3 linked regions of the Lepisosteus oculatus genome follow. The protein of the gene in region 3 interacts with the protein of the main gene of each other region in a pairwise test. Links are inferred from orthologs where the notes say so. Each region holds a gene or a part of one and is shown on either strand. Other genes may lie near its edges. The genes, in order: morn4, shfl and ssx2ipa.

Region 1 (10,809 bases), on a different chromosome or scaffold from region 3:
ATATGTTGCAATCCTGCCCCCTTCATGCGAATCCCACATGATGTCATATTCTAGCATGCCCAGCTGATCTAAAAGGTCTGTTGTGAGTGATCTGACTCATCAGAGATGATCATGTGTGATGTGGTGTCAACCACAGTGGTCTTACTCTACTGCCACTGTCACTGCTCATGTTTTGCGTTGTGGTTGTGCTGCATGGGTGACACATTTGGCACCCTGGAAACAGACGCATTGGCAGATCTACTAATTGAGTCAGATAACTCTTTCCACCTGACAGGTGGTTGACACTTCATCCATCCATAGAAAATGGAACTTCATATTTTGATCATATTTCAGCACCTGGAAATGTTGCCACTTAGCAAGAAAAACACTGTGATAGGAAACATTCAACTGTACCTGTATATTTCCATTCTGGAAGTACATCCCAGTTATTTTCTTTTAGTTTTCAAATTTTCCATTTAAATCATATAGCCTATTCCACACATTTGTCAGAAGCAATTATAGTGATGCCATTTCCTTTCTATAACGCTTACAAATGTCATGAACAGGAAAAAAAATCACCTGCTCAAATCAAATCTCATCATTTTCACCAAGTTTTCTAACGGTGGGGGGGCACCCAGTCCTGCTGTTACATAACTGAACATAACTGGTCTAAAAATAGGATTAATATGAGCTCTTCTCTTAACTCAACTCTTAAACATGTTGGAGGTTACCATTTACAGTACCTATTGCTTTTTGTACAGAACTAAACATCTCTAACTCTACGGGAAAAAAGAAAAACATTTACAGGGCTCCAAATCTAGTCCCCCGTTAGTTCAATGAAGGAAGGAGCTCAGCTGGATCGAAAACCCGGAGGCCAGGACTGGGAATCCCAGCAATGGTGGATTGAAAGGTATGTGTTCAGGTAAGAGGTAACATGGATTGACAGGATAAGCTGACACAGAGACATCCCTGTACACAGCATTGTGCGAGAGGGGCTTGATGGTAAAAAAAAAATTCTCTCCTAGCTAAATTAGGTTTACCATCTGTTAGTATTTAGGATTGTAACCCTTTCCCTGATCTGAAACCTCTTTAGAAGGGATTTTGTTTAGCTCAAAAATCAGCTCCTGAAAGGAATGTCAGGAATGTAAGGGCCTGTTTTCAATACAATCCAGGACACCAGCTCAGCTTTGCGGCAATCTTCCTGATCCCAGCAAGGTGAGGTACTGCACTTTTTGCACTATGTCCTGTCTTGGCTGTATTTTAATGTCTATTGTCTGAATTTATTGTCCATGTCTGTTCGTCATTTGTGATTTTTTTTCCCTTTCTCTAATGTTACTGGGTACAGCTGAATGAGTAAGCATTCCAATACACTTGTATATGGCAAATAAAGAAATCTTGAAATCTTGAAACTGGCTGATTTCTTAAAGTCCTTAGCTGCTCTCTATAGATTCCAACATGCATACACTGACAGCAAACTATGTATCCCTAATACTACTAAAAATATAAACACCAGAAACAACAAGTATGTAATAATATCAAAAGGGCATTTCATATTAAAGAACTAATCCCGAGGCCAATGTTAAAATGCAGCTTATATCTACTACATTTTAACCAGATCAAATTATTTTGTGAATATTAAGTGTTCTTAGAAGTAACTTTATTTTTATTAGTTATATCTTCTGTCATAACACCATTTTACACAGAAGAATCTGACTGAAGTGATTCTGGAAACCTTTCCAGTCCCTGCAGAAACCCTTGCACAGTGACATCAGGTTAGTCATGTTGTGTGACGTCAAGGTTTACCAGCTAATTAGGATTTAGCTTATTTCAAGGAGCTTTTGTTGTCAGTCCCTGTCCTTGAAAGCAAGAACACTAAGTACAGACAATACTAAGTTGCTACCCACAGCTAACACTGCAGCATGCACAAATCTGGGAAAGATCAGAACATACGCTGCATTGGACAGCCAGGAAATTCAAATTCCATGTCGCCTGCATTTTCTAACATTTAAGAGCACGTGCTCTTTGTTAGGTGTTGTCTGTTACAAAGAAACTCATGACATGAAGCACTTACTTCTCCCCAGCTTTGTTCTAATGGAAACACGATGCTTTTACAAACACACAAGTAAAGGCTGCCTCAGAGCGCCTGTTCCTATTCTGTTATGAATAAAGGGCAGATTACCCTTGACTGGTGAGAAGGCACAGTGACTGATGGAGCTTGACTGAAGCTAGAAGAAAGATGATTGTAAGGACTGATTTAAACTGTGAGTTATGTAAGTATCTGCTTCCAACAAGAGGCTGTTATCTTTGAAGGCTCTGTTAGGGTACGTTATTTAAGCTTTTGGGCAATGTTTTCCATCTGACAGAAAAAAAGCACATTTTACTTAGCAATCTCTAAGATCTGCAGTTACGTTCAACTTCAGGAACATGTTCTTTAAGCAGTTTTGACCACGCTCGGTTTCATGCCAACCACAAATGAACCCAATTATTCTTCTCTGTGTGAATGACAGAGAGTCCAGCACAAGAGCCCCGGTTTCTAATTCTAATAATGTTGCTATCTGTGTGGAGTTTGCATGTTCTTCTTGAGTTTTTTTTTCCCCCATGGGTTACCTCCCGTGGTTCAAAGACATAATGGTGGGTGGAAATTGACCTTGGTGTGCGTGTGTGTCTGTGTCTGCCTTGTGCCGATTTGTCATGCGGTGCAGGATGTCCTCTGCCTGTCTTGCGGGGTCAGGCTAAACCCTGGATTGGATTTAGCAGTTCGAAAATGGCTGAATGGATAAAGCATAGGGATGGGCCAAGCGAAGTAATTGCAGTTCAGACCCGGGAGCCTCTGTCCTCAAACGGAGGACGAAGACATCACCCATCCTAGACCGCCTTTCTAAAACATTTAAAGCCACCTGCCTTCTTTCCACTCGCCGTGATATTCCTCTCCGCTGGAGTAGGTGAAGGATCCTCTGGTCAGGGTCATGTCGCAGACTGCCTGTGGGGGCACACAGCAGCCAGCAGAAGAGGTTGAGTCTCAGAGACACGACGACCAGAGAAAGAACAGCTCACCCCCTCAAAGACTAGAAGCAGAGCTCTCAATTCTGAGTGGCCACACATCATATTTTCACAGGTCCTGCCACTGGCATTAGTGGGGGAGGGGGGGGCACGAATGTTAAAAATAAAGATCACTTTGCACATTTGTTTTTTTCTTTAACACGCATATTAGGAATTGCACATGCAGAAATCAAAAGAGATAGTCCTTAATCCTTTATTCAACCAAAGAAGTAAAAAAAAAGAGACGCTCTCGTCTATAATAAGGAGCCGGTGATCCATTTACGCAGTGGGGCTCTTGCACGAGCAATGTGATCAATTCACCTCATTCAAGTGAATAACACCAGTGTCCTGTTTGGGTTCAAAACCTGCAGCACTCCAGTCTGGAGTCCGGAGCCCTAATCACAAGTCCACGCTGCTGTCTAAAAAGGCTGCCCCCTGAGAGAATGGACACAGGAACTCAAAGCACTGGTGGCAACAGCTCTATGAAACTGCTCCACCACCACACCATGTCTGCGCTACATTTGTGCTGCTTGAGGAGGGAGAAGTGGGAGTCATTGTGGCACTGTTTGAAACCAGTACAGTTTCACTAAGATGGTGACAAAAGTACTAAGGACCATGCAGGGAGAACTCTAGGAAGGAATAATTTTAACTCCCTGAGGGGCCAGAAGATTAAACATACAGTACCAGCCTCAGAGAATCACAATTGTCAGTACCTTAATGTCTGTCACAAACCGGTACCACTGTCTCATCCATATACACATCAGTGCCTTAAAACAAACTCTGTGTGAGAGGAAAACAAACATATTTTCACGCTGGTACTGTATTGGGTACCATTAATCTTTTGCTGTTACAGACCAGAGAAGAACATAGGAACAGGTTTTCCTCCGATGACTCTGATGCTGCTTCCTGACGGCTGCTTTGTCTCTGAAGTCTTCCAAGCGGTCAAAGATCAGGTCTGTGAAACAACTCCCAGAGCGCTTCTGTGGGTAGCGGAGCTGCGCTGCTGCAATTGCGTTCTTGTTAAGGAACGTTACAGATTAAAATAAGAGCAATAAGAATAAACTAGTCTCGGTCATGAAGGATGCGATGCCTTCTTATTTCAACTTTAAACCGTGACTCGGGACTGTTCATGTTGATTTCACCATTAAATCGAGCGCAAATTATACTGCACCCCATTTTGCATGAGAAGCACAGCTCAGTCAAATGAATAGAGAAATCGAGTGATGTAAAGCCGAAGCAATGTAGGCATAATGGAATAAATTATTTAAGCAGGTGAATAGCTGTTCTTTCGTCTATAGTGCTATTATTGTTGGTTAAAAGATACTGACAGCTCCAGACTTAATAACCTCCGTATACGAAATGGTTACTCCTGGCATTCAGTGCACGTTTTTGTTGTATATCCCTTGAAATGTTACCACAGTAACGCAACAAAGTCATTTCCCTACGTGTCGCCGGCATATCACTTACAGTAACAGTACTAATAAACTACTTCAGCAAATTTAAACACACAGCTGCAAGATGATCCAACTGACCGTCGTTACTGCGTGATAAGATAAACAAATTATTTACCTGTTTTATGATCTTGGGACTTCAGAAGCACATAAATCCACCAATTTTATATTTACAATTCAGGCAATGGTGCAATATAACTGCTATACAGTACACCCTGTGACGAAAATTAGGCTCTCCTGACCCCGCCCCCTCTAGCGGCGAGGCTTCACGCTCTTCCTAAAGTCTCACTGTCCCATTGTCCGTTTTGCGTTACTTTGCATTTAAAGCGAATCCTGATTGGCTGGATTGTTTCCTTCTGAGGTCTGATAGCTGACATTTTTGTTAGGGGCATCACACAGCCGTGCCTGTGGATTTAATTAATAGGGATATGTTTGGTCGTGGCTTTTGCGCAGAGGCATTAATTATGGGATTCGTTTTTAATTACGTTGTGAAACTTTATATATCTATCTAGTGATTAGATATTTCTTTATTTTCATTCAGGTTAAGCAACCGCTAAACATTCAGTTGGCGTATGGCAGTTTTGCAAGGTTCTCTGAAAACGTTTCAGGTATATATATATATTAAATTAACTAAATTCATTCAGTATGCTGTATGAATTTAGCACAGAGTCGGATGTATTTTCATCTACAGATGTCTTTTTTTTAGTGACGAAATGAGTACTTTCGATTTCTGCATACCCCGATTTCTTCTGCCTTACAGATGTAGTTAGTTTGTAATCTAGCTGCTCCACAAAGGTCAGGACTCACCGCCTCTCTGCTTCCGCAGGAGTGAATACAATAAATGTCTTCTATCTCATCAAGATGCACCTACATTACAACCGCGGTAGCACCCAAGCTTTTATCACTTGAACTACTTCAGATCTTCGAATGATATATGGACGTGTGAAGGGTTGCATACAGCCATAAAGTAAAGCAAACGGTAAAGTATGGGAGAATTATACTGTGGGTCGCACAGACGTAGTAAATCCGCAAGGAGAAGATTGCAGAATTGTAGCTTTGGTATTTACAGTAGGCAAAGCACAGAAGCGGTCAAAGGCAAACGCGCTACTTGGATGCATAGCAAAGAGTGACATACTGTACTGTATTAGATAGCTGGGAGTTACCTGTGCCTGGAAGAGATTTTCAATGCAAATGCAGTGCCCTACCTGGAATCTGAAATCAGAACCTTGCAGTTATGAGCCTGGATCCCTAACCACTCCTGCACATGCTGTCTGATTTTTATTTTAATATAAATTTAAAATGAAACACCAAATAGATATACTGAATTTCCTTGTACATTTCACTTATCATTTACTTCATGACTTAATGTGCTGAATGGGTCTTACTTAAACTTGAACTTGAACTTGAACTTTATTGCCATATGTAACCGGTACTGGTACAATGGAATTCTTACTTACAGAAAGTCTCTCGATTGTAAAACAAGTGTAAAAAAACAAAACAAGTGCAAACAGTGCATCAAGACAATGTACAAACAAACAATAGACAATGTGCAAGTAAACATGCAGGCAGTTTGAATGTAAACAATACAGACGTGTAAACAATGACTGGAGACGTACAATAAATAAATTACAATGAGGTAGATGGTGATGGGTGTGGTCCGAGGGGGATGGCTAAATGTGTTCGCCAGTCTCACTGCTTGTGGATAGAAGCTATTGAAGAATCTAGTGGTAAGTGTCCGTATGCTCTTATATCTCTTGCCTGAGGGCAGTGGGGTGAAGAGCTCATGCCCAGGGTGGTGACTGTCCTCTGTGATGGCCAGAATTCTACCACGGCAGCGGTCCTCATAGAGCTGTTTAATCTCGGTGAGACCGCAGCCGATGATCTTCTGGGCCATATTGACCATTCTCTGCAGTGCCTTTCTTTCTCGCGAAGAGGTGTTGCCATACCACACGGTGATCCCGTTGGTGAGGACGCTCTCGATAGTGCAGCGGTAGAAGTTCACCAACACATGTATTGGCATCCCCCATCGCTTGAGGCGCCTCAAGAAATAAAGGCGCTGCTGAGCCTTCTTCATGATAGAGTCAGTGTTCACAGTCCAGGTTAGATCTTTAGAGATGTGAATTCCCAAAAACCTAAAGCTGGTGACTGTTTCCACTTCCGTTCCATCAATACTGAGTGGGCTGTGAGTGTGTGGCCTTTGTAATACTTACAAAGTATTACAAAGCCGAATAGTGTTTTTTAGTAAAATATATGCATTTAGACCACTAGATTGAGTTAGGTTGAAAGGGAGATAAATGTGTGTTGTTCAATGCTCTAAAGTCCATCGCCTGTTCTTTCTGTGGTCTTGGTTTACAAACATCAAAAGTTTTTTTCACAGGCTGTTTTTGCTTATAATAGCAAGGGTGATCTCAAAATAAACTGAGATCCAAGAAGCACAACTGTACTGCTGCACAGGGATCAAAATGAGGTGTAGATATTGCAAAGGGCATAGTAAGAAGCAAATCTTACATTATCAGGGAAATCTTTTTTAACAACTGTACTGACATGTTTTAAAACAGACATTGCAGTGGAAGATTCATATTTGTCATCAATGGGTTTACTGTGAAAGTCACAGGCTGGTAGCATGTGTGCACACTGCTGGAAGCAATACAGGGTGTATATCTAAAGCACATATGACACACTAGGTTACAGATGCTGTCTTATAGGACTCTGTCCCTTTCCTCTCCTACAGTCTGGACAAGCAGGTGTCTGTTCACTGATCTCTGAGTCCTAGATGCCTCATGTCAGCTCATCCCACAGCTGCTCAATAAGTCCCAAGTCTAACGACTAGGGTATCCTTGTTGTGGCTCGTCTTGCAAGGAAGCTGTTGTTTGACAAAGAGAATATTATCGTGCTGGACTTTGTCACATCAGCTGCATGAGAGAAGGCAGTGAGGTCATGAAGTTCCCTGTGAACAGGTTGCATTCCATTGCTACAAGTGGAGATCTGTAGGGAAAGGAGTTTCCAACCCAGACCATCACACTTGAACCAAACCATCAGCCCATTGACAATAAAAGGTTGCGCATTGTTCTACACATGTATCACCCCTGTCAAGTCCACCTCAGGTGACTTAGTCCAGTCTCTAGCATACTGATGGCATGAAGGCATTAATCTCTTAAATTCAGAATATTAGTTCCTTTTGACATCTCTGTTCTTGAGTTTCACTGGACTTGACATTCAACAAGTTAAGCCACCTTTATGCCTGTTCAATGCCCACTAATGAGGTGATTCAGTGCTCATGCAACAGTAGATGTCACTCTAGCATATCAAGATCGAGTGATCTATTAATCAAAATGGTGCAAAAACATTAAGTTTGTCTAAAAACAAATAGAAATAAGTAATGAATTAATTTTGATAGGCAGTTTAGTGTATGAACCTTTTCCTCCAATAAACCTCTAGCAAGACATCATGGAAACTGTCTTCAACCCACAGTTTTTGTTAATGTTAATATAGTTCAATTCTATATGTGTGTAGATTTTACGTCGCCAAGTTTAGTACCCATGGTGCATTTTCATTAATCAGGATACTTAATCTTTTTGCACTGCCGTTTTATCCGATGTTCATATATAAGGATTCCTTATATATGAAAGTTTTTCACTTTAACTCCCATCTAATACAGTTTATAGAGTGTAGAGGGTTTTGATTTAAAGCGCTCCGTTATATTGAAAATGCGCTGTTTAGTAAGCGGCAATGGGTTGAATGAAATTCGTACAGTAGTACTTTATTAAAGTTACGATTGTAGTAATTTATGGAGAGCCATAAAAATATAACATGAGTTTCCTAAAAGCCAAATTCGGGCTTGAGGAATTAATCTATTAAAAATGACCACAATGCGGTCTCATCAAATTCAAGTAACACTCGCACCGCTACATTGTAATTGCCCTTGACAGTGTCCCAGAATCTCCTCCGACGGGACAGGGATCCCCTTAATTAAATTACGCGCACGCGTGCAAGGCCGGGAATATGGGCTGCCTTCCAGTTTTAATCACGCGTCACTTTTCATCCATCAAGAATATTAAGCTTTTATTTTTTGGGGGGCGGCGGAGGCGAGTAGAAGATGCCGCAGCAGAAAACTCCACCCCTAGACACAGCACACACACAAAAAAGGGCCGTGGCGATGACGTGCACGCTGGGACGCACCCAGCAAAACGTGCGCGGCGGCGGGTGGGGCCGGTAGAAAATGGCGAGTCTGTGTAAGAGGCAGCAATGCACGCTCGAGAGACGCGGCTTTCGGCAGGAACTTGACTCGTGGCGGCATAAACTTATTCACTGTGTAGGTAAGCTCGTTTCACATTGCATGCAGGACCGGACGCGGCGCCCGGGACTCCGGGGTTTGGAAAAATATACTTTGTTTCTCTCGTAGTCCCAACGCAAAAAAATTCTGTTTCTAACCGTCGGGAGCAGCACGGAGCGGCTTTTTTTTTTGTCTAGTGCAGCTCTTCCGTCAAGAGAGCCTGCCTCCCTCCGTTCCGGTCGCCAGATTCTGGCTGTGAAATGCGTTATACTGCCTATATAGTGGAAGTGTCCGTACGGTACGGGGCGTCCTGTAGGCAGAATTCGTTTGCTCCCTGGTTATATTATCTATCTCTTTATTGCTAGGTAACAAAGATATATCAGGCTTTGTTTTCCTGTTTATTTTACGGAGGGTGTATCACGTGAACGGCGCTGCTTCCTTTAAGCCAATGAGATCGGGGCTCCCGGGCGCGTGCTCCTCTGCGTTTTTTCTTGTTTTCTTCTGTGGGGGGAGGGGGAGGCGCGCGCTCCCGGCAGCCCCGGGTTCTGCTGCTGAGGTCGGTGCCGCGCGCTCCCTGGCTGCCCTCGAGTCGGCCCCGGGGGCGCGCATTGCTGCAATGGGGGGAATCGCTCAGAAAAATTTGCTGTATTTTATATTTTGGCAAGCCGGGGAAGATGTCGGTTAAATTATATTTAAAGGTCAGGCGCACTAGACGTTTTAAGTTCGCGCGACACGTGCAGTAGCTTGCTGAAAATGTCTTGGTCAGTAGTTACAATTATATATATATATTCTAAATGTAATACAGCATATTTATTTTTATCTTCTTTAAACATTTTGCTTAATTTCTTTGGAAGTCCTTTGCTTATTTTCTGATGCACAGGGGCTTTATGTGTTACATCTGTGGAGTATTCCACAAGCTTTTTTGCAATGCATATTTTAGTTCAGTGCTGTAATTTTACAGACGTCAAATTTCGGTTGTCTTCCAAATGTTCACATTTGAAATGTCGCCCTTCTCCGGGCTACCCTCCCCCATTTCGAATGTTTCTTGATGCTAATCCATTTAAATCGGTATATTTGGTGTTACTGGGAGATCAGGATTCACTTCACGGTGATCTCTTATCCCAAAGGGCTCGCTTCGTCCAAACTGCATTAATCATTTTCCCTGCTAACCTATCTCTGTAGGTACAGTCGATATTCCCTGCTTAGTTAAATCGGTGCCTTGTTTTCACTTGCCGGTATTTGTTCTGAGGCGTTAGACGTGACATGGGTTTTGTTTGACAGAATACGTGGTAAAACAAATTCTTAAATGTTCGTTTGACAACTTTTTTTAAGCGGCCGAAAATATTGCGTTTATAAGAGAGATTTTAAACAGATTTTGCAGTTACGCACTTCAATTTGCTTGCGAGATGAGACAGTAGAAGCTCTGTTCTTAAGCGGTTTTAATTGACATTTTGTACTCCTTTGAATTTTGTTTCATCTGAGCATGTGTGACTTTCTCGTAATTCAATCCACTTATCGCAGTTGTTTGCTGTGGAATGCATCTCGATTTATACTCGACGCGTCTTATCCGAAATTGCCGGTGACTATATTTTTTTGCCCCCTCAAACATGTTAGTGGTGGAAAGCTTGTGCTGTCTTCCCAAGTCAAAAGTTCATTCACTGAATGCATGCCTTTTTTGAGCCATAGAAGCGGTTGAAGTTTAAAATGAAATGTTATTCTAGAAAGTTTCTAAATGGACTGGCCCATATTTCACCGGATTAATGTACGTCTTGGTAGTGCACGATATTTTTTCTTGCTTGATATAGACGACACTTTTGCATCTCCTACTTCAGCGTGCGGCGTCCTTGTCCAAGCCAGAGGGGTATCAGAGGGCAGATGCTGTCAGTACATACCTGTCTTTATTTAAAGTTCCCTTCCTGCTTTATAGCAGAATTGATGAGCCTTTTACATTTAGCAGCAAGGGAATGTTTTTTTACATCTCCTGAACCCTGGTGTTGGTACAGCTGGAACGAAGGGGTACTGGTTTTGAAAAGCTATGTTTACATGGACACATCTTCCCGATATGAG
Region 2 (11,116 bases), on a different chromosome or scaffold from region 3:
TAACACAGCTGTGCTGCAGGAACATCAGGACTAGCCCACATACTGTATATCTCCACCACATCAGACTCATGCCAGGAGCACGGTCCTCACAGGTGGAGTATTGCGCAGGTCTTTAATATGCATTGGTTTCAGGCTGAGAGATAATGTCAATTGATACGCCTCCAGACTGCATGAAACGCCTTCCAGATTACACTAAATAAAAGTGTCATAACAGTAACTGCATCCCTGGTATGGCATTTACGAAAGTCTGCAGGATTGTTCTACACTTCAGATTTTATTCCCACTGATTTTCTCCCACATGTTCAGTCTGCTTCCAGGATGGTTGAGGACATGAATCCCTTGTGCTAGAGCTCATTTGTCATGGATCAGTGCGTCTGTTGTTTCACTGAAATCTAGACTGATAGGACTGTATCTGGTCAGTAAAATAGCAGAAAATACCATGCTCCAGCCTAGAGAGAGGTCAGAGGTCACCCCGGCTTCTGCAGCATTAAGTGAGACTGGCCCCTGGACCAGAGGATGGATGGACCTGGAGGATGCTAATCTCTCGCAGGGTTCCCCTCCGGCCACGCTGGTTACTTTTCATACTAATGGGTTGACAGCAGCAAAAGGGGGTACAGTACCTCCCTCTAGGGTGCTGCTATGGGGACTCAAACCCACAGACCACCAGTTACACGTCTGCAGCTCTACCCTTGACTGCCCTTGTAAATAAAGTTCTGGGAAGCCAGATACTCGCTCCATGAAAAGAAGCTGATTCAAGCAGCCAGGGTACACCCCTTCATGTTTTTCTGTCCCTGCTCTCCACCAACACCAGAAGTGTCCCTGCCCTTGTGTGCCACTGCATGATACTGGAACAGGACCAACAACAGCCGCTTTGTTTCTCTAAAGCGAGTAGATAAAGCCTCTTTGTTCATCTCGCGTATTGTGCAACCGCAGCGTGACCCTGCAGGGCCGCCAGCGTACCTGCGGGCCCCTGGGCGGGGCTGGGGCCGGGCCTGGGGCGAGCTCCTGGGACTGCTCTTCTGCCTGGAGCTTCTGAACAACGTTCTGAAACGGGACGGGCGCACACAGGCAGGGGGTAGAAAACAGAGGGACGTGAGAGCGGACACAGGCACGGCCCTCGGGCCAGACTGACGCCGGCCCACAGAGCAGGAGGTCGTCTACAGTGAAACAGTAACCCCCCCCACACACACACACACACACACGTTTCAGCTCTGCTGAACACCAGCATTCCCCTTCTTCCTTCTCTATTTTTTCCGTGTCCTCTCTTGCCCCTTTCCTCCCTCTCTCTACCCCTGTCCTGCCCCTCCATGCTTCTACTCTCCCCCCTCCCTTCCTCCAGGCAGCCCCAGTGCACTCTGGGAAGGAGCTTTACCCTGACCACCGCGTCTCTCTTCAAGCACATCATGTCCTCTTCGTCCAGCCCTGCGCAGAAGGGAGAGACCATGATGAGCTGCCCGTCCACCCGGCTGACCGCACACAGAGGCCCTGGCCAGACCTAGGGGGCCAGCAGACCCGGCGGGCCGGGAGCACCACGCCCACGCCAGCTCCCAGGCCACAGCCCCCTGGATCCAGCTGCACCGCCAGCGGCTCCAGCGACTGCCTGTGCGGACCCGCCACAATCCCTGTGACCTCATCTCTCCTGTCTGCCACCAGGGGGGACCAGTACTCTTGTTTTGAGGGAAAGGAAGGCCAGGAACTAAAAAGCCTGACTTTACAGTGTGCAATTCCACTGCAAAACCAAATCCCTGTGCCTTCCGTCTCAGGGCGGGCGATTCGCTGGCTTTCTCAACCACCCTTGCTGGCGACAGGTCACCAGCACGGCACATTCTCGGATTTTCACGCCGTCTTCCTGTGCGTCTCAGATCTTTTTGCTGCATGTGGGCCTCTCCCAGGGCGGACTCATCATGTGCACCACTGCAGGGGCCGGAGTCACCAAGCTTCGCTACAGCGGGTCACGATTGGGGGCGACCGTGTAGGGCAGGTGGAGTGGGATTCTGGTCCTGGAGGTCTTGCTGGTCACTTGGGGGGAGACGTTCACCTCATCCAGCTAAGCCAAGAAGGACCGGTGACCCTCCAAGACCAGAGCTGTGCGCCCCCTGGTGTAGGGAATGCGAGCTGCTTGTGTTGAAAAACCCAATGTGTCACAGGTAAACCCCCCCCCCCCCCCCGCCACCTCCTTCAGCCACACTGTCACCTAACCTCTGTCCTTCATCAGGATGATATCCATGGCGACCAGCTGGTGGTTGTTACCATAGCGACGCATCAGCACCGTGGCAACCTCGATAGAGACCTTGCCGTAGAACTGCTCTCGCAGGCGCCGGACACTCTTCTCCAGCTTGAGGTGGACAAGGAGGAACACACAGAGTCACTCCGGGGAGTCAGAGAGAGGAGCAGACAGGAGGAGACAGGAGAGAGGTGAGAGGAGGAGCGAGGAGGCAGGAGAGAGAGGCAGAGTGAGATAAGTGAGGAGCGAGGGAAAGAGAGGAGGAAGCTGGGACTGTTACTTCATGAACTCTCCTCTTCCTGCAGTGGAGTCGCTCGCTCTACAGACACTGCGGCGGTGGCGCTCTGTCCCGGGACCCGACTGTGACTCCTGCAGAGACAGACTCCGCTCCTTCCATCCACACACTGACAAGCTTAACAAGTACCTAACGGAGGCGGTGCTCAGCCTGTGGGGACCCGAGTCACGGCAGCCCTGGTCCAGTCCAGGTTTTACCAGCTCCTGCCTGCTGGATGTCCACAGCTGCCTTACTTGGAGGGGAACGGCGCACAAAGACGAGGAGTTACCAATATCAACATCCCCACATCCAATCATACCCTCAGAGCTGGTGAATCCTGAAATGGGTCAAACTGCTGTGCGCCAGGAGTCTGTGTCCGCGCGGACACCACACAGGGACGGTGCCTGTTTCTCAGACGTCCGGGACACTGACCCCCAGGCTAACACCTCCCATTTTGGCAGGGCAGGGCTTCATAAGGACACCTTTGCCAGCACACTTTGAAAACGCAAACGCAAAGGAAAAACCCGGACAACCGTGTCTCAGCTACCGGCCACCTCTCGCCTCTCTCCCCCAGTGCACTCCACACCGCTTGCAACAGCAAAAGAAAAAAAAGCAAAAAATAAAAGGTGGAGGGTCATTTCCTTACCCCCACCCCCCAGGGAGACCTACAGTAGCCATGACTACACTACAGCCGTCCAGGGGTGCCGGTGTTGCCAGGCGACAGACCCGGGCCCTGCCGGGGTGTCCGGCCTGCCTATTCCCTGTGCAGCTCAGCCCGAGGGATACAGTCCTCGTAACAGACAGGCGCCCGGGGTATCTGACGTGCGCCCACAAGCGCGGTGACCCGAACTGGGGTCAGTGCGTGTGCGCCTCTGGAGATGGACTGAGAGGGGCGGTTTAACGATGTGACACTTCGGTATGAAGTTCGGACAAGTGTTTTTTTTCTTTGCGTGTCACCGCTTTTCAGCCTCCTCTAAAACCTAGACGGACCGAGAGACAGGTTTGGAAATAACAGACAGTCGCACAGATCGGTAGACTGACGGTCTTACACCAGATAGAGACAGGTGGGGAGAAGTTTTTTTTTACGTTTAATAAAAAACGGGGGACGGGAACTATACGAGTTCAAAGTGAAGTTACACCGTGGCCTCCCAGCCTTTTTCCGTAAAAACGTGCCTAACAGACACCAATCGTATCCGGTTAGAAAGCCGACGCTGCCGGAGTCAGCCAGGCGCCGATTCCCCCCGAGCAAGCAGGAGGGGTGGCGCTGTGGCAAAACCCGAAGTTTAGTCGCAGAATAAGCCGTTGAACTGCGCTGTGGGTTTAAGTAACCGCGGGAAGCGCCGTCGAGAAGCACTGGTCCGCAAACCACGAAATAATAATAAAAAAACCACAATGCAGCAGAAGAAATCATGAACAGCAAAGCGGAAAAATAATTGTTCCAACTGCCCTACCTCCACCACCTCATCCTGAAGCCTGCGAGCCATGGCTCGGGTTGAAGCCGACTGTGTGTGGCGGACGCGCACGGCCGCACTGCAGCAGCTGCGGACTGGTGTTGCTACGATTAACAGCTGGGCCTGCGTTTGCACTCGCTCGCGTTCCTGCTCCTGCAGAAGCGGCCGCTGCCCTGCAGCCCCGAGCGTCTCCTTCACACCTACTTTCGGTTTCACACTGCTCGCTGGCGCAAGCGCGGCTACCGCCACTAGGCGGCGCCATTTCGCCAGGACCGTGCATGAACTGTCAGCTCGAACCACATACCTCCCTCGTACGAGCGAAGTAAAGACTAAAGCAAAGACTGCTCGGGTCTAACTTTTTTTTTCTTCTGTTTACAGAGGCCATGCGACTCTGGTGCTTTCATCTCAGCAAACAGCGCAATGCTGACTCTGCACACCGCCGTCTTTCTGTTTAAAGAAAGTTTTTAAAAGCCCAGTCGTGGCTGTAGGTAAAACGTGGAGTTGTATCCTACGTAAACATCTCAGGTTCATGTCTTGACCCTGGCATTTGTACTGTGACATTTATTTATAACTGATTTTTTTATAAAATATCGGATCCCTGAGTTCTAATTTAATTACAAAAGTACGTTCAATATTTGAACTTTTACTTGTAGTCATTCTAAACTATGGACCGCAGAATTTTTATTTTAACAAAACGAGCTCCCGATTAATGAAATAATGAAAGCAAACCTGCACAAAGCCGTAAAAAAAGAGAGAAGTCGCAACCGATTAAACTACAATCCCCAGAAAGCACCGCGCCGAGCGACCCACGGCGTTTCCTCCGCCCTCGCTCGGAGCCCCCCTCTCCACCCTCCACCCTCCGGCCAGCCTTGATGTGTTCATACAGTAGCCAGGACCAGTCTGGTGATGCGCTGTCGATGTGGGTACAGACGTGTAAACTTCTGTAGCGCAAAACGGGGAAAGTTTTTGCATAAACGATCAGCGATGGACGGTTTCTGGTGAGCTTGCAGAACGCAGGTTGGAAGTAAAGACTTTGCTGTTCTGGCAAAATTCTTCTTTTACGCGAACTGGCTGTGGCGAGCTCAGTTACAACGGCGCTTACAGTGCAGCAGCATCTCTCTTTTTTGAGTGGGGGTGGGTGAAATTGTGTTTAAGCCCCTGCAGTTTTAGATCTCTGTAAACGGAGGTGTAATTTGTTAAAACCTAGGTAATTTACCTGAATTATGGGTACTGTGCGTGTGTATTACAGTAAATGCGTACCACCGTTTAGTTTAGCAGTCCCAGAGTTTATTCCCTGTTGAAACAATCTGTAATACCGCAATACAAAAATACAGCGTTACCTAGATTAACTCTTGTTATTTTACGCCAGGACTCCAGGTTGTAACGAGGCATCTTGTACAGCTAACAGAATGATCTGTATTTTAAATGATCTGCCAGTGTGATAGACGCTGTAAGGGCAGTACTGTTATTCACTGTTATTTTCGTTGACGCCTATTAGCGGCTTCTAATTTGCTTCAGCAATCAATATGGACGCCAGCTTTACTGCTACTTAACGTCTTTATTGGGATGAGGGAAAAAGGACTGCTTCCAGAGGGATGTGAGAGTTTTTGAAATACGATGTTGAAATAAAGATTTAATAACGCGTTTCACGATCCTGCGTCAAGGAGGAAACTCAATAATATCGAATACTTTGTGATTATGCTGCAACAAGTCCAGAATGTCTTCAGTGTTTTCCCAATCGCAGATAAAGACACGCTGGTGTGCCTGAGTCGTGTGCAAGTTGGTGAAAAGAAGATGCTCATTGTATTTTGCCCTCTTTCCCACCCAAACTGTACCTTAAGCCACACACAGACACACACACACACCTGACCAAGCAGCGTCTGCAGTTCCCTGCAGCTGAACTGTTAAGTGACGACTTTGCGGGTGTCTTCCAGGTAGGGGCAGTCGAACCCCGGCTGAGGAGATCGGCGCTCCGGGTGGTGAGCGATTTCAGGTAATTTCGTTTCCCCCGCCGCGCCAAGCGTGCCTCCTCCCCGGAGCGGCAGCGATCCCTCTGAAGCGCGGGGGGCGCCAGCTCGGCCTTCCCTGCTCCCTCACACTCTCCTGGGTGCCCTGCTGACGCAGCTGACCCCCTGACTCACGTCACTGGGCCAGAGGTCTCCAGGTCGGCCGAGAAGCAGGATCCCAGCCCCTGACATCCAGGGATTGCCCCTGCTTTCCGATGGCTCAAGGTGCCACAAGCCGGCAGCCTGGAGGAGGGGGGGGCCAACCTGTATATTTTCAAATGCGATAGAAATCGGAATCAGTGCTCTGTGACAAGATGTCGCTCCAGGACTGATTGACTGATTGGGCATTAAGTCACTGGGCTGGGGCTGCACAGTGTCCCTCCCCACTCTGTGTGTGCCTCTGCAGCAACACGAGAGCACAGACACTGCTTCGCAGAGGGTACCTGTACTGCACACACGTCGGTGAAACCGTGTTATGAAGCTGAAACGCAGGTCTTGGGTAGTTCTGCAATAGCGACTCTACAGAAACCCATGACAGTGAATTCCTGACACGCGTGCTGCGTGTGCAAAGCCATTTCTGCATCTTCTTACTGCAGCAGCTCCTGCACACAGCTCCCCTGAGCTGCCACTGGTAGGAGGCTGAGAATTCATGGGGCCGATGGGCACCTCCAGGAAGGGGAGAAGGGGGGGTGACTAATGAATGTGAGGCCACTGCAGACAAAGCGCTTCCTTTTCACGGAAGGAATTAAGAGTTGTGTTGCCGGGCCTCAGGGCGGGAGACGAGCCGGTAAGGCCAGCCTTCCCTGAAAGGGTTAAAGACCTTCTGGGTAACCATAGGGATCTCCGTCGCGCCATGCTGCGACGGGACAAAGAGGATTAAAGGCTTAGTGCCAGATCAGGCTGCTCCACTGGTCCGTGTGTGTGTGTGCGCATGTGACAGGGAGGAAACTCAATAGAGCCCTGTGTTTCCCTGGACAGTTCGATTCCCCGTGACCCGGTCACAGGGGGCACGCTGTCCGTCCCGGGCTCTCCAGGAAGAGACTCCTGCTTTTCTGGAGGATGAGGAGGGGCGCTGATAGCCGGTAGCTTCCTTTCCCGGACCAGACCCTGCAGAGGAAGCAGGAACAGGGGTTGCAGTCCCAGTGAGTATGTGACGGTGACAGGCACTGCACACACTGCACGCGTTTTGGACTTTAGCTTGTTAGTTTTCATCAGTGTGATCTGCATACCAAAGGTTTTTTGTACCAGCCTTTATTTTTAGCATTATCCTTGATTGCATTATAAATGTCTCCCTACAGCTGGAGGTACAGTACTCCTGCATAGGCAGTATTTATTAGCTATTGTTGTTGAGTTGCTGGAGATAAATGTGCAGTGATCAAGTGAGTCTAGAAGTAAGAACTGTACCGAGATCATGTGTGCTGTGCTAAAAAAGTCATACCTTTCTTACGGGGCCTGGCCTACTTAACATTGATAAGCACGTGGTTTCCATTTATATCATGACAAAAAAAAAGGGCATGTGTTTTTACCTGTTGTAGCATAGGCATCCAGCAGGGCGGCGCCATGGCATGCAAGACCGTGCTGGTAACAGGCTGCTCCTCGGGGATTGGGCTAGCTGTGGCCGTACGTCTGGCCAAGGATGAGCTGAAGAGGTTCAAAGGTCAGAGGCACCTCAAGTATCATGATCATTATTGTCTGACGGTATAGAAGCTGTATTCCTACACATGGAATAACACACAGTAAAAAAAAAGCTATGGGGGTAAAAGTTGTGTAAGGGAGGCCTTTGCTGATGCATAGTCCCCCGTCTGGCAGTGGTGGCCACCATGAGGGATCTGGACCGCAGAGGCCCGCTGGAGCAGGCGGCAGGGAGCGCCCTGAACCGGACCCTGGAGATCAAGGAGCTGGACGCCTGCAGCGAGGACTCCATCAGGAGCTGTGTGGACAGCATCCCCTCCCGCCAGGTGGACATCCTGGGTGAGACAGACTTACAGGCGCACAGCCTTACGTGGGCCTTGTGCCAGGCAGAAGTTGTTGAGCTCAAAAGCAAGAAATATGCCATCTGCTTTGTCTTAATGTAATTCTTCAGGATCCACAGCTGCAGCAGTGTGCTGGCCTGGAGCAGGGCTCTGGGAACCCCGTCCCCTGCAGCTGTAAACGCTAGCCCCTAACTGGTTTAAACTCTTGTCAGGAATGACGGTTTTCCTACAGTACGTTTCATTCCAGAAGCACAGAGGTGCGTCTCTCACATAAAAAAGCCGAGAAAAAAGTCAGAAGTGACTGGCACACTGTGATGAGTTTGTAGAACCACTTCTTGCCCCGCGGGCCTGCAGAGTGGTGTTGAAACAGGATATACGATCATTTCCTCCTACTGTGCGTGTGCGTGCCGCCCTGGCATCTTGGCGTCTCTCCTCAGTGAACAACGCGGGCGTGGGCATGATCGGCCCGCTGGAGTGCCAGAGCATCGGCGCCATGCAGCGGCTGTTCGACACCAACTTCTTCGGGCTGGCGCGCCTGGTGAGGGAGGTGCTGCCGGACATGAAGAGGCGTCAGGACGGGCACATCGTGGTGATGAGCAGCGTCATGGGCATCCAGGGTGGGCAGCTGGGGGTGGAAAGGGGGGGGCGGGTCCATGCTTCTTTCATATAATTGGTAGGAAATTGACATTTACCTTCTCATGGGTGAAAATATTAGGAATTCGCCCCCTAGTGGACTCGTGGGGAAACACTCAGTGGCCTGCGCCCATTATTTCCACAACAGGGAAGTTGGTCCTCGGGCTAACCTTGATGAGCTTGTAGAGCTTGATGCTGGAGAACCCAGGCAGGCATGACCTGTAGCTTGACTATGGCTGTAACCAGTGTAGCCGGTCTGCTGCCTTGGTGCTTTTCCCACCAGGCTATGCATTGTATGACTGGCATGTGGGCCCATTTGCATACTGTGATGAAATGGATGTGCTTGCCTTGAAACCTGGGGAAACACTAGGGCCATACACAGACGATAAAAGGCCTTTGAGAATGAGAGTATTCAGAGCACAAAAGGGGAAGATCCATTTTCATGTGACTGGTATTCCTTCAGAAGAGGCCTTTTCGGAAGATTCAACATCAGCTGTCTGGGAACTGCCCTGTGACTTCCTGCAGCCCTCCAGGGGCACAGCTAATTTTCTCTCCTCGTCTCTCTTTCTTATCCTCTCATCCGAACCCATCTTCCCCCGGGGGCCCCAGGTCTTCTCTTCAACGACGTTTACTCCGCCTCCAAGTTCGCGGTGGAGGGTTTCTGCGAGAGCCTGGCGGTGCAGGCCCTCAAATTCAACATCAGGTGAGTGCGGGGCCTCTGCTCTCCAACCCCAGAGCTTTCCTGGATTCCAGAGCATTCCACAGATCGCCCACACGGGAATCTAGTTAAGGTTTGCTGGCGTCTGGTCGAGAAGGATAAGGCTCCTCAGCCCGGGGTGGTGGTACCGCCTGTGCTTGGAGTTGGCGTGAGCGAATGGTCCTCCCTCTTCCCCCCCTCTCCCCTTCCCAGGATGAGCCTGATCGAGCCCGGGCCGGTCATCACGGAGTTCGAGAAGAAGGTCTACGAGGAAGCGGACGGCATGGACCTGGCGGGCACCGACGAGGAGACGGCCAGGATATTCCGGCAGGTCTACCTCCCGTACTCGCGGAAGATCTTCGCCGCGCTGGGGCAGACCCCCGAGGAGATCGCAGAGGTAGCGCAGTCGGCTGAGGAGCTGCCCCTAGGTCTCATACAGAGGGAAATACCTTCAGCGCGGCGGGTTTGCACACATGGGCCCACTCTGAAGGCTGGGCAAGTCCTGCCCCATCGTGCCGCAGTCTGAGAGTGGTGCTTGTCCATCTAGGGGCTTTTAACTGACCGCTTGATTGGCTTCTGGGAATAAAAATATTCCTCGTGCGGGTCACTGGCCTGCCCAGTGCGGTTCCAGTCTCCTCGGCCTATAACCCCCGCTTTTGCTTTCCAATTTTTTTCCCATCGCAGCAAACATTCCAGGTGATCACGGCCGACAGCCCCCCCTTCCGGCTGCAGACCAACCGCCTCTACACCCCCCTGACGACGCTGAAGCACGCCGACCCCAGCGGGCGCCTGCCCCTGGACGCCTTCTTCAAGATGGTCTTCAAGCACGACCGCGTCTTCAGCGCCAGCCTGGGCTTCCTCCGGCTCCTGCGCGGGCGTGGCGCCAAGAAAGCCTGTTGAGACAGCGGGATGGGTGGGGGGGGGGATGTTGGGGCGCGGGCATGTCGCCTCACTCTCATCACTCGGGCACGCCCCCTCCCGCCTCCTTCACCACGGGCCCGGATCTGTCCCGCAGCGTCCAGCCGGAATCGCAGGGATAATCGGAGCGAGCCCTGTGTCGGCTGGGCCGGGGCCGGGGCCGGGCCCCCACCACGGCTCCTTCCCTCTGGTCTTCAAAGGCCGCAGTCCTGCTGGGCTGTTCCTAAAGCACCGCCTCCCGCGCCCTCGCCAGCCTCGATGTTTCGGAATGGTGGTTCAATCACGTCGAACAAGAGAAGCGTTAGCGAGAGGAACAGGCCTCTCAGCACGCCTGTCCAGTTTGCTACGCGGTTCTGCGATGGCACCGCGGCCCCGGTCACCCCCGCCTCCAGAGCTGATCTGTGCCATTGGAGGAACACCGGATTCTAACAGGTGTCCAGAAAAGCGTGCCGCGCACCTAAAAGAGGGAGTTCCTTCAGTCTGTCACTGGAACCCATCTGGCCAAACCGCAGGGCCCAGCCTTCACCACCGAGCACCCGTCTCCGCAACTAGAAGCTCGTCGCCGAGGGTGAGCCGAGGGTGGCGTAGTGAGCGGGCCCCTGATGAAACCGCCCCTCTGCTGTCCCTGGTCCGGTTTGCTGCCAGGATCCTGTTTACTAGATCAGGACGTATCAAGAACAGCAGGGGAAAAAAAACAAAACAAAGCTTTTTCCTGCGGGACGTGAAGGTTGAAAAGCTGCTGCCCTGGCCTCAAGCTGCCGTGGTCCGGTCCGGTCCGGTGGACGTCTAGGAACGGGTTCTGGTCCGGTCCGCGTCTGCCGCCGGCTTGGCAGGTCGCCTGGAAGCAGCGATGGTTGGATTTTCCCAAGATTTTCCCCAGAAGCGGGACTACCGAAAACAGAGCTAGATAGCTACTTTTAACTCGCTGGAGTTTTCTTAC
Region 3 (10,536 bases):
CTAGAATGACAGCTTGAGTTTCCTGGAACATTAAATATAATCTATTCTTTGAATAGTATTTTTAATAAAGAAATCCATTGTTGCATATCTACTTTACATGAAAGCTTACTAGAAACTGCTCTATCCACAAAAACAAGGCCCTTCCAAAGAAGATATTCCAGATCCCATCTTAAAAAATAATGGGAAATGTTTTATATAGTTAAATCACTCTCAATGTTTTTAGCAAATGTAGTAGACATACTAGAGAAGACTGTGAAAAAGAAATTTACATCCTTGATGTTCACATTTGAACGAAAACAATAAAATGTGTTTGTTGTTTTTTCCTTTTTTTGTTCTGGATCTTTCTTTCTAATGTGTTTACAAAAACATATAAAAAATCTGAAAGTTCAAACTTCAAGACCCTAGGGGTCTTAGGGGATTCAAGACCCTAACCAGACCTGTGCTGTCTATACTTTCCAAGATAATTTAAAATTATAAAAAGGCACTTCCTTTCCAGGTGGACATTCCATTCGGGGGGAGGGTTTAGCCCAAGGAAGATTATAGGTACTTTAAGTCACAGAGGTCTGGAAAAAGAGAAACAGAACAGTATTTTTTACTTTTTACATACGAATGAATTAGCTTTGAAATGAACCCAATTGCTGTCCTAAATTTAAGCCACAAACTATTTGTAAAGATTAATCAAACAGGTTCTTTCCAATGATTTTTATGTTTGAAGAGTGCTGAATATTTTAACTAGTAAAGACATTTTACCATGGGAACAAACCTGCACCAGCTCCTCAGTGTCTTCCATGGTGACTTTAGCTGTGCTGTGCATATATTGCATTAAAGGATAACTGAGTGCTTGTATATGAGCATCAAAATATTTTACTTCTAACTGGAATAAATGATAAAATTATCAAGAAAATGACAAATAGTTATACTAGTTACTCTGACATTTTAATTAACAGAAAGGAAGTAAATTAATTGGTAATTGACTTTTGTTATTAACAGGGTTGATCAACAGTGAGTCTATTATGACAGACACATACTAGATGTATGTGTCACCACAGCTGGAAGGCAAACAAACTTTCTGTCTGTGACACATTCATCGCACCACTTCACAGGTGCTGTCTTGTTGGATTCTATCTTATTTCTCTTCTACAGGAGCCTTGTAGAACACAAAGTGTTCACTAGTCGTGAGGCCTAGAAGCCACATGTCATCTCAGTTCATCTCACAAACATCTGCAGGGCCTGAGTCTGGAGAACAGGGCATCAATGGCATCAATGTTACTTTCAAGTCACAAGAAATCCAGTTATGTGAGCAGCATGAGGACAAATGTTGTCCTGCTCATATATTGTCACTTTGGAATGATCCCATAGGAGGGGATGGAAGTGAAGTCCAAGGACTTGAACAATGTAGAGCATGGGTTGGCAAACTTTTTAGAGCAAGGGCCACTAAACATTTTTACTAACCTTGTTGGGCCATCTGAGTGATACTTGATAACTAGCTCGGGTAGCCGCCACATTTTCTTCTAATTTTCTCTTGAGCAATTTTTGCTTGCCTTAAAGCGACTTCTTCAACTGTTCTAATTTTTCCCTCCATTTACCTCCTGTGTATTCTGAAAACGTAGCCTGATGTTTTGTCTCTTAATGCTTTTTTATGTTGTATTCTTTAATCACGGCGATTGTTTCCTGACAGATAAGACATATTACCTTTTCTTTCCAAGGGACACACAAGTACTCTTCTGACAATTTTTCGTTGAACTTTCGACCATCTGCATTGATCTTTCTTTTTTTCAACATGGCAGGAATAACTTACAGTTAGCCTCTTGTCAGTTATAACTTTTAGAACTATTTAAAATAATTACCTGCTTTCAAACAAGATAACATACACTAGACGTCATTTGCGTGACTAAGCCAATCACAGTAGGCAACAAAAATCCAAATGTATTCACGATAAGAGTCAGTTGTAGCACAGGCTTACAGTACGTAACCTAGGCTAAAGCTGACGTCTGATAGGCTAAAAGTAAAATGCATTGTGCAATAGGTGTTGTTTTACAATTGACCATTAGTGCTGAGAGAGCAGCAGAGCTTACAAGTAGAGGCCACTGGCGAAAGATTTTCAATATCTGATGCAAAAAGTAACCTTTGAGATTCAAACAGTAGTGAGCTGCGGGCCACTCAGAAAAGTTAAGCGGGCCGGATTTGGCCCGTGGGCCATAGTTTGCTGACCCCTGATGTAGAGCCATGCAGTCAGGTTTCCACCAATCTCTACATGTAGAGTTCTGTAGTGACCCATCTTTTTTACCCAGACTATTGAAATCAGGCCTCTCTATTGACTGGTCTGTTGTACAAAACAATTACCAAGGATCATTCATCATATCCCCCTTATACACGCCTGTTTCCACCAGGGAGTAAAAAAAACGCGCTATGATATCTTGCAATTGCGATATTGTATCTCAGAATTACGAGTTTATATCTCACAATTGTGACTTAAAATCTCAGAATTACGACTTTATTTCTTGGAATTATGACTTGATATCTCACAATTGCAACTTGAAATGTCAGAATTATGACTTCATATCTCGCAATTGCATCTTTTTTTATGTCAGAATTTTGACTTTTTATCTCGCATTTGTGACTTTGAATAACCCACATTTCATTGTCTGTCCTTTTGTTATTGTAACGGATTCGGGTTCTAGGGCTTGTGCCCTCACCGCTTCTGCCTCACAGCACGGGCTCGAACCCAGGTCTTGCCAGCTGAGCTAAAGAAGACTTTCTTAAGCCCTGGCGGCCAGCATCCCTGTTATGCTCAGGGGAGGGCGGTGCCATCACCGCAGTGCAACCATATCGTACAACCTGTATGTCAGCCATTCCATTACACTATATTCATAAATCATACAGGATCATAGGATCTATAAATCTGAAGACTTGTCTTGTCAAGTGCCCTGACAAAAATCAAATTAATTACAGTAGTTTTGATGGAATCCCATTTCCGGCAGGGAGGCTTCCATAGTACCCAGATGGAATAGTGGACAGTCGGCTTTTTCTTAAGTCAGTGTTTTTATTTAAACACCATAAATACAAAAAAGGAGACAGAATATGAAAAAGAGTACAAAAATAGACACTTCACATCCAGAGGAATTCATAGTTATAAAAGCTGAAAATTATACTTTTTACATATTTCCATTGTAAGTCTTGCCTTTTGATTCTTTAAATTTCTAATAGAATTTAAGTAAAAAAGGAATTCCACTTTAAAAGTATTAATAAATGGAGCAGTATTAGAACATTTACTTTTGTGGATGAAGTATTTTTCCTAAATAATTAACAGATTAATTATAAAAACATTTATCCAAATCAGATCTAACAAAATATAAAACATCAAAATCTTTAAATTTAACATTTACCTTAAATGTTTAACAATAACATTTTGCAAATCTATCCAAAACAATTTTGTATATATGCAATTGATAAAATCCTTCTCATTATAACAAAATACACATCTTGTTTAAATCTAGAAAACGTCAATTTAAAAGGATAAAATCTATGAACCATCTTAAATGAAATTTCTTTAACTTTATTTGTAAGATGGTATCTTTCTTGGCTAGGGCTCTCTCCCCACGCACTGGGCCTCACACCGCTCCACTCCGTCCCTCTCTGACACCAATGTAACGACCTCGGGTTTCGGTACGGAATGGAGCAGGCATGGAACTCAGGGAATGGGGTTGAACCGGGGAAAGGTACACACACACACACGAAGGGAAGAGACTATCTTCCAGCCTCCGCCCTACTATATGCAGTTCTGTAGTCCCTGGCAAGTGTTGTCTATGTTACGAATGGTATAAATATATTCTTGTTTCGACCGTCACGGACCCTGCCCATTTCGTCCCGCAACACCTGGGGCGCGAACCCAGGCAACAGGGAACCAGCCGCTTGAGCTAAAGGAGACCTCCCCCAGCCCAGGCAGCTGAGGTCCCTGCTATGCGCAGGGAGGGCGGTGACGTCACCGTATCCGAACTAGCTCCGCTACAAAACGAGGCACAAGTTTTTCTTTCTTGATTTTCACTACACAGTACAGTACATGACATTCAAAAGGTGAAACTACCTTATGTCTCGTGCCCAAACAACTCTCGACAATGATTGACTCACATTTATTCTAATAGCAGACTACTTTAATGACATTGCTATTGTTGAGAGTCATCTATAAATTGTCTTTCTCTTTTTAGTAATTTTAAACCATGATTGTATGAAAAGAAACCTGCCTCTTATATAACACTAAAGCGTTTGAAAGCAAGTAGCTGGGTGTTCTGATCAGTTCATATATTCAATTCAGTTCAATTATTTTTGCTACTAGTAAGTATATGAATATGTTCATGTTGGCAGCTGCGTCAGCATGCGTTGTGCAAAGTAACAACAGGTTTATTCCCTGCTGAAAAGAGAAGCGAGAAAACATGTTTTGGCTGTGAACCCTTCTTCAGGTGAATATGACAGTTTATTTTGTTTCCAGTGATTTTTCCCACAATTAAAAAATTAATGTGGATTCTTTCAATATTACAATATAGTACTTAATGTTAATGTTAATGTTGCTTTATTAGCCCTATACATTTCTTGCATTAGGAATTCGTCTTTTCGCATACCCCAGCTTGCTCTCCATGAGACACAGACAGGGAGAGAAGCTGGGGGTCAGAGCGCAGGGTCAGCCATTGTACAGCGCCCCTGGAGCAGTTGGGGTTAAGGGCCTTGCTCAGGGGCCCAACGGAGTAGGATTCCTCTGCCGGCTGTGAAATTTGAACCGGCAACCTTCCAGTCACAAGCACAGATCCTTAGCCACAGTACTTAGTAATATTTTATCCTACCTTGAGTCCTAAAAAAAGACTTTGATTATCAAATTTCTTGTACTGCAATCAATAAAATATCGACAGCATTGTTATATGATAAAAAAACTGTTGTAAATAATAGCTTTTATAGCATGAATTGCCAAACTAAATGTGTATAAAATGCAAATTTAAGGGGTTAACATTTGAAGGTAATTTTTTTTGTTTTGTTTAAAGAGTAATTTATTGATGCTGATAATATTTCTTTGTGGTATTGTAGTATAAAATGCTGCAGAAAATGTAGCCGCCCATGTTTTGAAGTTATATAATAAAAGCGATTTCTCCTCAGGTACCGGAAGACGCGAGAATACAACTGGTTTTAGAGACGACGCATACAGTACATTGACGTAAATCATGGAAACAGAAAAAAAAAGTTTGCTCTGGGATCTAGTGTTAGTACCTAGTAAACTAAAACTGAGCAGAGTGCGTAAACGCAACCAAAACCCATGCATAACCTTCGATTGCCGTATAATGAAGAAATAAATATGAGAAAATGAAAAGCTGACTTCCAATAACCATCAAACAACGAACTGCATGGGTTTGCAAGGCTGGTCTGTTTTGCACCTGCTGATGCCTGTATGTCACGCCCACCGGTTTCTCAGGGACTGTAATTAAAGCCCAGGTGTCAGCCAATACTGTGAGCAGGTACTGGTTGCCTGGCAACAGGTTCGCCAATGACCGTAACGTTTGTTGGTGAGCCAGAGAGTCGGAAGCTTCAAACCTGCGCCTGTTGAGAGAGTGGGGGAGGTTGGTAGTATCAGCTGTTGGTGATCAAGAGATTAAAATATCCTACTTGGATGCTGGGGACTTGTCTGAAGTGGATTTATAGGTTTACTGTGTTCTGGAGAACGCCGGTGTCTTAGGAGAGGAGTTCATCTGGTGTTATGTAGTGAGTGTCTTTTCAGACCCCGTTTCTCTTCTGCAGCCCAATACGCAACTGAGCCTATAAGATAGCTGTGTGTTTATAATAATTTTGTAGTCAAGTGTTAAGGAGCATAATTCAATTGCTTAGGTTTTACTGCCTTCCGTGTTACGTATTTGATTTCGCTTCCTCAATGCATTTTATTTATGATTCCTTGGAATAAAAAATTTCTGAACTAGTTTATTTGTATGACTGGGACGTTAACGTGTTAAAAAAGCTAGGCTTTAGCTAATCCTCTGAATCAACAGAAAATCGACCAGCTCCGTACGGTCAGCATTTTTGTTTTCCAGTCCTGGTCAAGCCGTGGCAGTCCAGCGGCCCTGTGTCTTGACCGCTTTGACTTGTGAATTGTGGTCTAACCGGTTTCATGAACTGAAATTATGATAATTGTCAACTTTTAGAAATGTCTAACTACTATCACATTTAATCTTTTTATACATTTCTCTTTGTTTACGTTATACCCGAGCATGCTTTTTGTTTCTCGGTTTACACTGATTCTCACTTAATTTGAGCACATTTCTCAATCAGTTTTTGTTTTATGCGACTATATTGATGACTCCCATTGGTTTGTATTGCTGTATTTGGGAATATTTTTACTGGTGTCGTGACTAGACACTTTAATCATGTGAATCATGTAGTGCCGCTTTACTAAATGGTAGAAACCTTTTTTTCTTGCTATTGATAATTCTAAAAATATTTACATATTTTGTGTACTTTTTTTTCAGAAGGCTTCACAAGCTACCAGGGGCTTGGCAAGTCTGTTATTAACTCCCTGTTGTGATGGTACCATTTTTAATATTGGCATGTTGCCTGCTGCCGGTGAAACGGTAGAACATGTCCTTTGTTATGTATATGAAGTTTCTATCCACTGTGCTCACTCTGGTTCTGGTTTCTGAATTGTTCTTGACCCTTTCATATCAACTTGTGATAATGCATGAGAAGTACTTTTTTGCCCAACTACAGTTTGGGATGCATGACTTTTATATATTTGTCAGTAAATACTTTGTATAAATAATCGAGCTGTATGTTTTGCTTTTTATTACAGCTATAGGTGGTAGGATGCTAGATGGTGCCATCTTACACTTTATTTTGGAAAATAAAATGAACTAGACATCCACCCACCAGCTCACTTGCCTACCGCTGTATTGTTAGTAGGATAGAATCTATTTTAATTACATGCTAAGCGTAAAATACACTGTTCTAGTTATGGTGCATGTAGGAAAGCTGAAGTGGGGCACAGCAAATTGTTACTGGAAATTCTGGTAAGAGGAGGGACAAAAATCGAAAAGGAACTGTGCCTTTCACATTTCCCTACTTGAAAGGGTTTGAATAGAGTTAATTTTGTTGCCGTGTGCTGGGGGAAATATTGGTCCACTCTAAAAGTGATTTTGTCCTTTCTTTTGCTTTCATAAGAATCTTTGAATCATTGTGAAAGAAACAAATGGAGATCATTTGGTTAGAATTCAGATTTGTGTTCTGATTTTTATTACTAAAAACATTTTTACATCATTTTCAATTAAAATTGATAAATGTGGTAATGTATTCTTTGCAGTAAAAAGGCTATAAAGTAATGATGCAGGGTTAAGATTTTTATGATGACTTCTTTACTTTTCATAATATTCTCATTACAAACTAAAGTAGATGGGAGAGCCACGAATCTATGGTTGCGTCATGTCCAGTTGTAATGTTATCTACGATGTGTAACATGGTAAAACAACTTGCATTTTACAATGCTTCTCTCAGTTGTTTTGTTTTATTAGAGCAAGTGCCTCAATCTCTGTAGTATTTGGCAAATAAAAATATTACACTACTTGCAGAAGTGTGATCTAACTAGACATGTATTAGCTGCACAATGCTTATGAAGTAATTTTAAATTGCCAATGGCATTTAAAAAAAAATTGCAGAATTATTAAAAATTTGAATTATTTTTACTTCTAGCTTCAAGCTACATTTAACAATTTAAGAATATGTAGAAGAATTTTAATTCTGCCTCTTCTTGTAAATCAGTCATATATCACATTTTGTGTGCTGTCTTGCTAACGTACTGACAAAACAGGTTTGTGTTGACATTTTCTAGGTCATATTGCAATGTAAGGGATCCAGTTGGAGCAGGGCAAAGTGTTTTTTGCAAATGCTAGGCCATCTGTGCAGTGGATTAGTAGATAACGACGTAGGCACCCTAATATGATTTCCACTTGTAATGATGACCTCCTTGCTGTTTGAAAGCTTGATTACTCTGTGGTATACTCTTTGCTTTTGTGGATCTGGATAGTGTAGAGCTGGGATTCTGTGCAGGCATGGATGTGTTTTTAAATTGAAACCATGCGTAATGTGTTTGAAATTATAGGGCGGATGAAGTAGTTCAGCTTGTTTTGCAGAAAAAAAAACTTAATGGGCTTCTGTTAACGACAATTTCGACTTGCATGTAAATATTGATATAAATGGCAGACTTGACAGACATTTTATAATATTGCATAACCTTTTTGAGAATGTAATTCGCTTAATTTACATCACTAATTGTGATGTATTGGCTTAATATTTCATATACAGCAGCTGAGAATTTGATCTGTACGTGGCTTTTTGTTTAAGCTCTTAATGCTTGTACACAAAAACAGTGAAGTCATCTCCTTCAAAGCAGTGGTACTAGGCTGTTTTAATCCCCTATGTTTTAGATAGCTATACGTGATCTAACAGGCTCTATTTTTCTGTTTCAGGACTGTGATGTGTTGGAGCTGCCACTTGCCCTGTCTGCTGCACTGGATCAGCCTCAGGTGTTTTGGCCTTTAGTTGCTATGGGAGATTGGAGGACAGTAATGCCTGAGTCTTCACTGGGTAATTACTGCCATTCATAACAATTTGTATCTCCTTGAGCTGACAAACTGATTAGTTTATGTATAACCACTGGCATTATGTTCTTCTTTTTGGTGCTAACACCTGTATAAAAATGTACAATTAGCCTTTTTTTAAAATACTTGATAAAATGTATTATATAAATTTAATATAGGGGTTGGAAATTCATATAAGAAACTCATAACCTGTGATACACAAACAGAATGTTAAATGTAGTGTCAATATCAGTAGCAAGTGGTTGTTTCTTTTTAAAAAATCACAAGTAATTTTCTACATTAAACTGTTAACTGCTTATATCCATGGTGAATTTCATTATGAACAATACAGTTTAAAGTTAACAGTAGAAACCAGTATGAAAGGTTCAGAATTCAACATGACACAGAAAGCTCTTGCAATAAAAGAATACAGGGTTGCTCTGAGTGTAATTGTATAATTGAATAGACTAGGATGCCGGTGGTAATTTGTCATTGATTCTTTTCTCCAGGGAGCGCAGATGCATCTTTGTCTTCCTCTAGACCTGCAATGTCTCCCCTGGGGCTTGATATTCCCTCCTCGATACAGTGCTCTCTTCTGTCTAAGCACTCGTATAACATTTTAGGTGCTTTTTGTACAGAGGACAATGTTGCCCAGTGCATTTCATATGTTAATCAGGTAATTTATATTGTGCCTTAAATGAAAAAAATCTTCTGAACATCATTATGCTGACTTTGACAAATCACATACATGAGGGCTTAAAATGGCCTTACTAGAAATAATTAGAACGAGGTTTTAGTAGAACAAAATGCATTAGGCTACTAACTCATAGGTTACAAAAACAATGCCTTTGTCATTGTCAAATCTATTATGACAGATGTTTTTGACAGAGTGATAAAGACATACATTTACTGTACAATTGCGAGCTTGCATAAGTTGGTAAGATGGAGTTAGTTAGCACTACTGTTGCTCACCAGTCATGTGAATTTAAAATAACCATTGCTGCTCTCTTCATAGGAGCTTTCTTCACTTGGCTTTGCTGCTCTGTGCAGTGACTCCAATGGGAAGAGAGACCTGAGCTTGGTGACTGTGCTCAATGTTATGTATGAGCTGCTGCAGCTCCACCGCAGAGGACTTCGCTCCCTGGAGGACATGGAGACTGAGCAGCTGAAGTCCAGTAGTGACCTGGACCACCTCCATGTCAGCAACTCCCGTCTGAAGGTCCATCTTTAGAACTCCCCTTGATTTTACAACTTAGCCTGTTCTAAATCAGGATAGTGCATGTGCGACCAAACAAGGGTTTTTTAATGTCTGTAAGAAATAAGTCTAAGCTTAGTATCTTAAGGTTTAAGAATTCCAAAGTTAGAACCAGATCTTAGTGTATTGTAGTGGGAATTTCAAATGTGTTAATGCTGATTTTACTAATTTATGCATTTGTTCTTTTTATAATGTTAATATTTCAGATTGATTTATTATGTTTTGCATAATTCTTATTATTTGGTGTTCTTAGGATCAGCTTGAACAACTGAGAAGGGAAAATACAGCACTACATGAGAGAGAACGTCAGATGCAATTGAAAATCAAGAGTTTACAAAATTGTTTAAAAAATGATAAAGAAGAGGTAAGACCAGACTCATTGCCCTAACAGAATGCCTTTTTAACAAAAAAAAATGTGGAAGGGTGATTTTTACCAGTACAAATGGTGAAATAAACTTTTCCTGTCTGATAATTTGATTTATTGTACATCATTATCTTTTCATGCACATCAAATTGCTGTTCTGTAATTTACAGCCTAGACAGCTAAGGTCTTAACTTGATCACTTAATGTTATCATTCTCATTAGATACAGAAGCTTCAAAATATAATAGCAAGTCGTGCGACTCAATATAACCATGATATGAAGCGGAAGGAGAGAGAATACACCAAACTGAAGGAACG

Evidence for each region.
Region 1: the proteins of ssx2ipa (region 3) and morn4 interact in binary tests that used the Homo sapiens proteins (3 or more experiments, as listed by UniProt). The two-hybrid records come from large-scale screens. The link is inferred for Lepisosteus oculatus from reciprocal best matches to the Homo sapiens genes SSX2IP and MORN4.
Region 2: the proteins of ssx2ipa (region 3) and shfl interact in binary tests that used the Homo sapiens proteins (3 or more experiments, as listed by UniProt). The two-hybrid records come from large-scale screens. The link is inferred for Lepisosteus oculatus from reciprocal best matches to the Homo sapiens genes SSX2IP and SHFL.

What each region holds. Positions count from the first base shown.
Region 1 is NC_090699.1:44,156,509-44,167,317, forward strand, and holds the start of morn4 (MORN repeat-containing protein 4), read right to left. Parts: upstream 4,697-10,809; 5' UTR 4,588-4,696; intron 4,360-4,587; exon of another isoform or gene 3,874-4,359; intron 2,960-3,873; 5' UTR 2,948-2,959; coding exon 2,881-2,947; intron 1-2,880. Other genes in the region: lcor (streptococcal hemagglutinin), read left to right, coding at 8,689-8,785. UniProt on the Homo sapiens protein: Plays a role in promoting axonal degeneration following neuronal injury by toxic insult or trauma.
Region 2 is NC_090706.1:14,468,535-14,479,650, forward strand, and holds the start of shfl (shiftless antiviral inhibitor of ribosomal frameshifting protein homolog), read right to left. Parts: upstream 4,184-11,116; 5' UTR 3,983-4,183; coding exon 3,950-3,982; intron 3,563-3,949; exon of another isoform or gene 3,458-3,562; intron 3,415-3,457; exon of another isoform or gene 2,415-3,414; intron 2,336-2,414; coding exon 2,200-2,335; intron 1,423-2,199; coding exon 1,373-1,422; intron 1,045-1,372; coding exon 961-1,044; intron 1-960. Other genes in the region: retinol dehydrogenase 8, read left to right, coding at 7,516-7,612, 7,765-7,926, 8,366-8,545, 9,171-9,264, 9,472-9,655, 9,943-10,158.
Region 3 is NC_090704.1:171,719-182,254, reverse strand, and holds the start of ssx2ipa (synovial sarcoma, X breakpoint 2 interacting protein a), read left to right. Parts: upstream 1-5,544; 5' UTR 5,545-5,742; intron 5,743-8,489; 5' UTR 8,490-8,567; coding exon 8,568-8,607; intron 8,608-9,109; coding exon 9,110-9,276; intron 9,277-9,615; coding exon 9,616-9,819; intron 9,820-10,108; coding exon 10,109-10,219; intron 10,220-10,441; coding exon 10,442-10,536. UniProt on the Homo sapiens protein: Belongs to an adhesion system, which plays a role in the organization of homotypic, interneuronal and heterotypic cell-cell adherens junctions (AJs).